Linked DNA regions of Kluyveromyces lactis. The protein of the gene in region 2 purifies or fractionates together with the protein of the main gene of each other region. This does not show direct contact. Links are inferred from orthologs where the notes say so. Each region holds a gene or a part of one and is shown on either strand. Other genes may lie near its edges.

The links.
Region 1: the proteins of RSM23 (region 2) and RSM7 purify together in Saccharomyces cerevisiae (affinity purification with mass spectrometry; 3 studies listed by BioGRID). This does not show direct contact. The link is inferred for Kluyveromyces lactis from reciprocal best matches to the Saccharomyces cerevisiae genes RSM23 and RSM7.
Region 3: the proteins of RSM23 (region 2) and RSM22 purify together in Saccharomyces cerevisiae (affinity purification with mass spectrometry; 3 studies listed by BioGRID, with this or other methods). This does not show direct contact. The link is inferred for Kluyveromyces lactis from reciprocal best matches to the Saccharomyces cerevisiae genes RSM23 and RSM22.

What each region holds. Positions count from the first base shown.
Region 1 is NC_006041.1:512,170-514,779, forward strand, and holds RSM7 (mitochondrial 37S ribosomal protein uS7m), read left to right. Parts: upstream 1-1,315; coding exon 1,316-2,110; downstream 2,111-2,610. Other genes in the region: PSY4 (Psy4p), read right to left, coding at 1-375; KLLA0_E05765g (uncharacterized protein), read right to left, coding at 2,183-2,610.
Region 2 is NC_006038.1:197,350-200,524, forward strand, and holds RSM23 (mitochondrial 37S ribosomal protein mS29), read right to left. Parts: upstream 1,809-3,175; coding exon 501-1,808; downstream 1-500. Other genes in the region: CEG1 (mRNA guanylyltransferase), read left to right, coding at 1-392; pseudouridine synthase PUS1, read right to left, coding at 2,165-3,175.
Region 3 is NC_006041.1:1,031,375-1,035,391, reverse strand, and holds RSM22 (tRNA methyltransferase RSM22), read left to right. Parts: upstream 1-1,327; coding exon 1,328-3,517; downstream 3,518-4,017. Other genes in the region: KLLA0_E11727g (uncharacterized protein), read left to right, coding at 1-110; SRP102 (Signal recognition particle receptor subunit beta), read right to left, coding at 258-1,031; KLLA0_E11661g (40S ribosomal protein eS27), read right to left, coding at 3,869-4,017. UniProt on the Saccharomyces cerevisiae protein: Mitochondrial ribosome (mitoribosome) assembly factor. Binds at the interface of the head and body domains of the mitochondrial small ribosomal subunit (mt-SSU), occluding the mRNA channel and preventing compaction of the head domain towards the body.

The DNA of each region.
Region 1 (2,610 bases), on a different chromosome or scaffold from region 2:
CAGCCTGGGTGTCCAATCAGTATTCACCAAGCAACATTTCTCCATGGCCGACACAAACTTTTGCAAACTGTGCACAGGGAAATATTGTAATGGATGGTAAGATAATTCGCATATCCGTTGAATCGTGAACGGATACTTATCTCTTTTTGCAAATTTCACAACAAGGTACCTCGATAGCTCTTTCAATCTGTGTAAAAGGTCTTCCTCTTGGTCCTCGTTATAATTGAAGATCTCCTTCGGTATCGTTATGCTGAAATGTTCAGATAGCTGTGGGATCAATTGCGAAGGCGATATTTCGTTAAACGCGCTTAGATCTTTATCGATAACTATTTTAGTCAAACGGTCGTATAGATGTCTGGATTTTATTCCCATCATATTGACAATGTATCTGATTAATGAGCTGATAGTAGGAAAGGCTGGCAAAAAAAAAAAAATTCTACGGTATAGTAATATTACACTTGGTTAGATCTCCTTGAAATGGCACTAACGAAAGATCGGTGTTCTCGGGGTATTCTAATTAGCACAAATAAGTCCAGTATGAGCGATGCCTTTTTTATTCCAAACTGGCAGATATAGAATAGATAAAAAGGATAGTCTCGGAAAATAATATGAAACAACGGACTTGTAACACCTAGTCCCAATAGACAGTACACGGTTAGCCAATCCCAGCTCAGCCAGCAGCCTTATAAAGTTCGTTCTCTAGTCTGTTGATTGACCGTTCTATCTTTGTAGCTTAGAAACCTACATGTTATTTGAACAAATTTCTTTTATTTATCATTTCACATAATATTGTGCGCATATAACAAATTTCACCAACTTTTCACGTAACGAAATGTGATATTATTTAAAGGATTTCACTTAAGAACGGCAGGAATTTTAACACTTAAGTACGGAAGTTCTAAAGATACTATAGTTACATACCTGAATACAAAATAGATCAACGACATCTTTACTATAATATTAAAGGCTAAGGTGTCTAATAAGGTACAGTCTATATAATATCATTAATTATTCTTGGCAAGCTTGTGCTCAATGCACTGACAGGCAAAACTACCAACGGCACATAGAAACAGATCATTAGTAGTCACGTGTATTTATGCGGGTAACACTGTTCACACTGGCTCATCTCTGAACCTTTGATCAAAAAAATTTACGATTTTCAAACCAAATTCAATATCATCATATTCTGGTGAAGTAAGCTTGAATTTGGATCTAATGAGAGTTACTCTTAGATTGAATAGGTTCTGGTTGTATTGTGTGTGTCCTTGTGTGGTCCTTGTGTACACTGGCATCTATTCAACGGAAATTGTACAGTATGTTGAGAGCAGGAAGGTTTAGTCTGAGTCACGTCCATGCTAACGTTTTGGCAAGAAGTCCACTTGTACATGCTGCCAGTATACCGACCATGCAAACCAGATTCCAAAGTCAATCTGTGAATAATAATGCGTCTACAGGGGAGAAATTAGCTAGCCTTAGCGACGAACAGGTTGATGAATGGTTGAAAGTTATTGGATCGTTAGAAGAAGAGTTTTCGCAACAAGATTATAACCCAGCTACGTCCCTTGCACCAGGTAACCAATCTAGAATTAATATCTTGGAGAAGGCTATGGAATTGAACAAGCCCAGCTTTGAGCCAAGTCAAGAGCAAATAAATGAATGGGAAACGTTGAAGCAAGTTCCCATTCCAAAAAAACAGGATCCAGTTTTACAGCATGTAACGAATATGATTATGAGACACGGGAAAAGAGAAAGAGCTGAGAAGATTCTTTCAAGAGCGTTATATATTGTGTTCTGTCAAACAAGGAAAGACCCGGTAAAAGTTTTGAAAGAATCCTTGGATGTGTTGGCGCCTCTTATGGTTATCAAGACCTTCAAGACTGGTGTCGCAAAGGCCACTGTGGTTCCAGTTCCATTGAATCAAAGACAAAGGTTTAGATTAGCTTGGAAATGGATTGTGGAAAGTTCTGTGAAGAGATCATCGAGCGATTTCTCAGTAAGACTTGGTGAAGAATTGGTATCTGTCTTCAACGGTAATAGTTCAGGTTTCGAAAAGAGAGACTCTATTCATAAGACTGCTATTGCACACAGAGCTTACATTAACCTAAAATGATCAAAGTTCCAACCTCCACTGTATTTACTTGAATAAACCTGTACATATGTATACGTGAAATATAAATGAACGTTATCGATTTTCATAGTTATGCTGAATTTGTTGCTCTATCTTATATGCAATTCCTAGGCCCAGCAGACTTCCCGAAAAATTGGCCAAAATATCGTTTACATCAAAGGACCTTTTTCCTCGTGAGAGGAACTGTTGTGCAAATTCACTGCTCGTACTGGCACATACGCAGCATACAATAAATGCCAATAGATATTTGTTCATGGAAAAAGGTTCGTACGCAGCCAAATTCCTTGATCGTAGTCTTTTGGGGATGAATGCCGGCAACTGTACGGTATCACATTCAAACATCATGGTAAACAGAACGGTTTCAATGCAAAATACTATGCAATGGGCGAGCTTATCATGAGTTGATGTTATTAGCTTTAACCTGGCATCAGTAGTTAATCCGAGGAAGACAACAAAACATACACTCGAGAAAAATGTTACTG
Region 2 (3,175 bases):
TCAAGGCCATGGAGGAGCCATTGAACGGAAGAATTGTAGAATGTTCCAAAGATCAGGAATCAGGTGCATGGAAACTACTTAGGTTCAGAGACGATAAACTCAATGGTAATCACGTATCAGTCGTTCAAAAAGTCTTGGAAAGTATCGGTGATTCTGTTTCATTGGATGATCTAGAACAAGTGGTAGATGAAATGAGATCTCGCTGGAAAGAACGTGAACAAGGACTGAAAAATGCACAAAAACAATTCAACCATCAGGCTTCTGCGAGATCGTCGCTGTCGCAGCAACATTCAACCGAACCAGAGCAGTCGCAAGATCAACCAAAATATGTAGACGATGACGATGATAATTGGTCTGATGACGAGCCAGACACAAAAAGACAGAAGATTTAAGAATCTTGCGTCAAGTTAAAAGCATAACATATACACGAGCATATGTGCTCATATTATATTTCTTTCCTGTATTTACATGGGTTTTTTTGTAATATATAATATGTACAATTAGAATGGATATAGTGTAATACTCTTGAGCAATTCCCTTGGATTACCATTACCACTTAAGAAGTACTTTTCTTCGGTAAGCTGTTCGAAGGTTTTGTTCTGTAAATCTTTGTCAAGTACGATACCCGCCTTTTGGTAGAACTCCATCAATTTGGCAACTTCATCTTTATTAAGTTTGGTAACTTCGAACTCCTGTACTTTACCCTTTAGTAACTTTTCGGCCAAAATTTGTTCATAGTGGTATCTGGTCAAATATGGATCGTGAGGAAGCTTTTGCAAACCAATTGATAACGTTCTATTGGTTCTATCCAAACCCGAAGTAGCCAAAACAACACAGCTGTCCTTAGCAGCGAATTGCAAATCGCCAGAGACTAAATCAAAAATAGATTGACCAACCTGGAATTTTAAAATATGAATATTTTTGTTGCTTGTGTCTTTATATGCTGTGAATGGTGTAGTCAAAAGATGGGAGAAGTTATCAACAGTGAAATAGACCGGATGATCAGTTTGGTTAGTTAATTCTTTAATGAATGCATCGAAAACGGCTCCACGGTGACGAGATGGTGCCTTGACACTTAGTAAATCGTATAACGTGGATTTACCTGCAGATAAATTCACATTTCTCTTCACAGATAGGTCTTTACCCCCAGAGTGAACTAATTTATAGTCTTTGGAGAGTTTAATGGATTGCAATAATTCTTTTTTGTTGGATTTGACAAATTTGGTTAATAAGTTCTTGATGTACATTGGTTGAATGTATCTGTCTTCATCCAAGAAGAAGTCATTTCTACCATTTGTAAGAAGTTCGGAGTTGGAAACAGTTAACACAAGTCCCTTGTTTTCTAGTGCGTGAGCATGTAGCTGGGCCAGTAGAGTAGACTTACCCACACCTGGTTCACCTGTTAGAACAAGCTTTTTGTTTTCTGACTTCCGTAAGGCTTCGTACAATTTTCTAGTGGTGGAATCTCTAACTAGTGATATTGGACGTGTGAACAATTCATTGAATTGATTTTGCTTGAATGAACCCAGACGATACAAGAATTGTAATTGCTGCTCTGAGAAAGAATGGACATCTGCGGCACTGATGTTATTAGGATTAAACATGGGCAGATCGACAAAAGTTGCATTTTTATGTAAATTAGCCGTTGCAACAGCTGGTTGCCATCTCTTATACATGGAACCAGGAGTAATTCTTTTGGCTGCTGCCTTAGTTCCTGATTGAGCCTTAGCGAACCCTTGGGCTTTCTTCTTAGCTGCAGCCTCTACTGCAGCACTGCAGGAGAACTGTCTGGTATGTATTCTCAACATGATCGAAATATATCTTACGGGTCCGGATATCTCTAAAAAGAAGTGAAATCCGTCTCACTAATATAGCTTCTTTTTTACTAAATCACACTTCTGTAATTATTCTTAAAACCAACACAAATTGACTTATTAAAGTGGATTATTTCACGTAGTTCTGTTATTCTTTATCTATGTCACTTGAAGTCTGCCTGCTACTGAAGTAGTTCAAATTTCGAAAATTTTTCAGATATTGAAATCATTAAAGCTTAAGAGAAAATAAAATATACGTGTCACGTGAAAACACTAAGAACTATGGAAGTATATCTATTAAAGGGAAGAACGAAACACGCAATGCTATAAATGGTGTCGGACAGAAGATCTTAATCCTGTAGTTGGATACCTCTTGCTGTGAGGAAATCAAAGATTGGCCTTTGTGGTTTTTTGCCCTTTTCGTCGGATGGAGTAGGATCTGATGGAGCCTTTTGTTCCAAATCTTCGGTAACAAGTTCCACTGCTTGAGAGGGTTGCTGTAGTTCTTGCCCCTTCAGCTGCTGTTGTTCTTGGCTAATATTATATGAAGGGTTGAAGGTGTCGATGTACGAAAAAAAGGCGTTGAAGACGTTTTCATTGACTTCTTCAAGGTAAATTTTATCGTAGATATGTTTCATCTTGAACGTATCCATTTCGCTTTGATATTTACTGAAGTCAATCGGATCATATCCGAATTCTTGTAATCTAGTGTTGTAACCATCATAAACCGGGGCTTCCAATAATAAACCTAAAGCAGGGGCTTTTGGAATATTGATTTTTTCTTGACCGTATGCCTGCCTAATTCTTTCCAATGGACTGAAACATCTTGTGATCAAAGTTGCCATAGATATCATCTTACGAATTTGATGTAACATAAACGATTGACCGTGGATTTTGATCGATACCCATTCCGTCTTAGCTTCACCAATAACAAACGGTTCTGAGACTGTGATTTGCTTCATGAATCTCTTGGCGCTCGGATCGTTGAAATCTTTCCCCAAGGTGAAATTATGGAAGTTAAAAGTACCCTCGTATTGTTTTAATGCACTTCTGAATCTATCTAAACGTTCTTTTGAAATTCTGTAGGCTCTCTTGTGTTCTGCTTCGAGTTTCTTGAATGCTTTGCTCTTTTGATAAGTTTCATTGTTTTCATCAAAAGAATCTTTCGGCATGACAAAAGCTGCAATCTCTTCCAATTCCTCCTTGGTAAACTTAGATTCAGCCTCAGTAGAGAATGCTTCCCAGAATTGTGCACTTTCTACATCATCTTGGATAACATTCGGTATTTCCTTCTTGCTAGCTTCAATCTCGTTGTATAAATAAGTAGACGGTTTTGGGCCAATCAGTGAATAAGTTGGTAA
Region 3 (4,017 bases), on a different chromosome or scaffold from region 2:
TGTTACTACTTGGAACTTCAATCGTTGGAACCTCAGTTGCTGTAATGTTATGGAATGATTGCAGTGATGTACCGAAGACAAGAGACAAACCAACGCATACCAATACTTAACCTTTAACTTCAAATTCAATGACCAAACAACAAGGCTGAAAAGGATATGACAAATCGCAATCGTTCACAGTTCATTACATGGCTTTATTAAATGTGCTATATATGAATATGGGAAAAAAATTCCTGAAAGGCAACAAGGCAGATCGCCTAATTCATTGCACGTTCATCAATCCAGCATTCCCACTTATCAATATCATTTTTCAAAACGCTTCCCTCCTTAGCATCTACATTCCCATCAATTCTATCGAATTCGAATCCGGCTGAGTTTTGTTGAAGAACAGCAACCTCATCGTCATCATCGTCATTAGCATCGTCACTCAAGGACTTTTTCGAGTTTGCCTTCAAACTTTTGGCCTTTCTCTTCATGATTTCAGTTATTTCCTTCTCCAAAGCACCCTTGATCTTTGATGGAGGTCTTGCCACGAATGACTCAGATTTATTGCATGCCAACAAGATGTCAACTCCGTCTGGTCTTAATTCGGTGACAGATAATATTTCATACAATAGTTCTGCAGTACTGACCAATTCCTTAGGATTAATAGTAGAATCAATCACATAAATGAGCCCTTTCAATTGACTCGAATCCTTGATGGTTTGGAGCAGCTCAGAACGGAACTTGTCATGTCCTGGGAAATCGATCAATTTAAACTTGAAATTCTTATGACTAGTTGGTAACATGTAGTCTTCAGCCACATTGGGTTCTTGTGACATCACCGATGGTTTGACCGAGTCTGTGGTTAACAAATTGAACAATGCAGTCTTCCCCGTTTGCGGCAAGCCTGCAATGATGAAAGTGGGCGCTCTATTGGTGTATTTAGAAGCACCAGGAATCACGTTGGCACTCGTCTTTTGTACGATCAGCACAAATGCTGCACTGATCATAACAATAATGCATGCTAGTAAAATTGGTGTCGACAACATTGCCGATATATATTACGGTTTCGATGTTCAAGCCCCTAGAAACAGTCTTCAGATGCAACAGAAACTCACAGAACTAGCAACCCTAACTGAAATCACCGGGTCTCTATATGTCCATGTTGACTTTAAACTGTTTAACAAATTTATCAGGCTGAAAAGTTAAAAGAAAAAAAAAAAGATTTGAAAACCATTCTGTAAATTTGTATGAGAAATCAGTTGGAGATGCGATGAGATGGCGACGTTCAGTGGATAGAGAAACATAGATAGACTGACACCAGCCCAGACAAGAAGCTACCAATATGTTACGTTGCAGTCGAACGCTTAGCCCTCGAATATTCACTCGTATTCCTGTGTCAAGGTACTCTTCACTGGCCGATTTCCCGATTAACGTTAATGATTTAGATGCATCTACAAGAGATAATGCGCCAACCAGTTTTGGTTCTGTTGTTGATGACTCTCAGAAAGATAACGCAATAGTTATAGAGAGAGATCATTTGCTTTCGGATAAGGTTAAAGGAGATTACAGAGATCAAAATGGGAATCATTTACAAGGTGAAAATGCAGAGGAGGCAAGACTTCTACCCAAAACTCTTGAAGGACGGGTATTGAGAGATCAGATCCAATTGCCGTCTGTGATGAGTCAAGCAATCCAGAACAACATAATGTCTCTACATATACCTGGTAATCTAAGAAGAGCCGCATCCAAATATTTCGTGGAGTTATACGAAAGCTCCCTTCATCGACCTACATCATCGAACATCGAAGTGGATTCTCATATCGCATCAATCTTTGTGCAGAATTATGCTGCCATATATCAATCTTTATCAGAACTTAAGAAAAGGGTAGGGGAGAGTTTCAATCCTCAAAGAGTATTAGATGTTGGTTATGGGCCAGCCACTGGTATTGTTGCTTTGAACGATTTAATGGGAAAAGAGTACAGACCCAGAGTGAAAGAAGCCACTATCATAGGTCATATTGAGATGCAAAAGAGGGCAAAAATAATTTTGAGTAGACAATTGAATGAAATTCCAGACGACATGTTATACGGGGAAGAAGAGCCCACTGAGAATGTCGAAACGAAAGAAGAAGAAGCTGACAATATCGAAGGAGATGACGAGATGTTGGGAGAAGTAGCTACGAAGAGTATTCATATTAACACGAGGTTGCGTAAAGATGTTCCTGGTTCCAACGAATACGATTTGATCATCCTAACTCATCAGCTCTTAAGACACCAGGAAAGATTCCCAGCCCAAATCGATGACAACTTGGATCATTATTTGAAGCTTCTTTCCCCGAACGGACATCTAGTTATAGTAGAAAGGGGCAATCCAATGGGTTTTGAGATTATTGCAAGGGCAAGACAGTTCATGATCAGACCTGAAAAATATCCTGAAGAACACGGGAAGATTCCAAGACCCTGGAATAGAGGTAATAAGATGATGGGCAGAACCAGTTATCGTTCAGTGCCTGTTGAGAACGAAGAGCCCACACTTGAATCCTTAAACATAAATGATGACGAATATAAACAGTTAATGGAAAACTTGGATGCCAAATATGGAGAAATAAACAAACAAGATTTAGAATTCGAACCAGAACTTCTTGAAGCCATTGAAAAGGAAGATTCCAAAAGAGGAACATCTAGTGATGAAGAAAGTTATTTCATCAAGATCGTTGCACCTTGTTCACACCATAGAAAATGTCCATTACAGATAGGGAAACCTCATTATTACGATTTAGATGAAGGTTCGAAATTGAATTTCTGTAATTTCCAAAAGACTGTACTAAGGCCAAGATTTACTATTGAATTAAAGAAGGGCAAAGTGCTTGCTGCACCATGGCAAACTCCAACTGATGGTATCGGTATCAAGGGGAAATCTGCACCAGGCTCAGGTAGAAGAAATGGTAAGAGTTTTGAGATTATAAACTATTCATATTTGATTGCCCAAAGATCTTCAAAAGATCGAGCCACGACTGAAGCAATAAATCGTGAAAGAGAAGAAAATAAGATTAAGTACGATATTGGCTCATTGGGAGATGAAACTGCCAATACGTGGCCTAGAATCGTTAAACAACCTACTAAGAGAAAAGGACATGTGATTCTCGATCTCTGCGCACCATCTGGTAAATTTGAGAAGTGGATTGTCCCAAAATCCTTAGACAAACAGATATATCACGATGCTAGAAAGACTCAAAAGGGAGATTTGTGGACATTAGATGCAAAGACGAAACTAGCAGGCGGAGGTGCCTTAAATGTAAATAAATTTGAGAAACTGCATAAGGAAAAGATCAAGAAGATGAAGAGAGCTGTGAAATCAAAATCACGTGAATTGAAAGACATGGCAAATCAATTAGACAATGAAAGAGAACATATGGATCCCGAATCAGCTGTTGATACGTTAGCTAAATTCCATGAGCACAATTTCCAGTTATCGAATGCAAAGAAGGAGAAGAAATATGCCAACCGGAAATTGGCAGTGGATGAGTATTAAATCTTCCAGCGGAGGGTTAACAAATCAATTTCTTGTAAATAACTAATAACTACATCCCATTATAAAAGAAAGACACTGGGTCAATTATATTTATTTATTTATTTTAATTCAAATATGAATTTTACTTTAGCTTTAAAGGGAAGACATAACGTTCTAGTATATTACTATGTGGTTACATCCAAATACATATACCATACTACACCAGCATCACATTGTCAATGACATGCCAAATAAAACAGGCGCCACGGACCATAAAGAGCAGTGTAAAGAAGAGAAGTCAACTCGTAACTGTACAACAGAATGAATACGTTTTATGTTAAAATTATTGGTGTGCTATAGAAAGTGATTAATCTATTTTCTTCTGAAAGAAGTACCTTCAGACAACTTGGCCTTACCACCGGTTGGGGTACACAAGACGGTAGAGCATGATTCACAAGTGACAGCGGTTTGAGCGTGAGAGAACACAGTAGTGATGTTCAAACAACCTGGGCACTTGACAT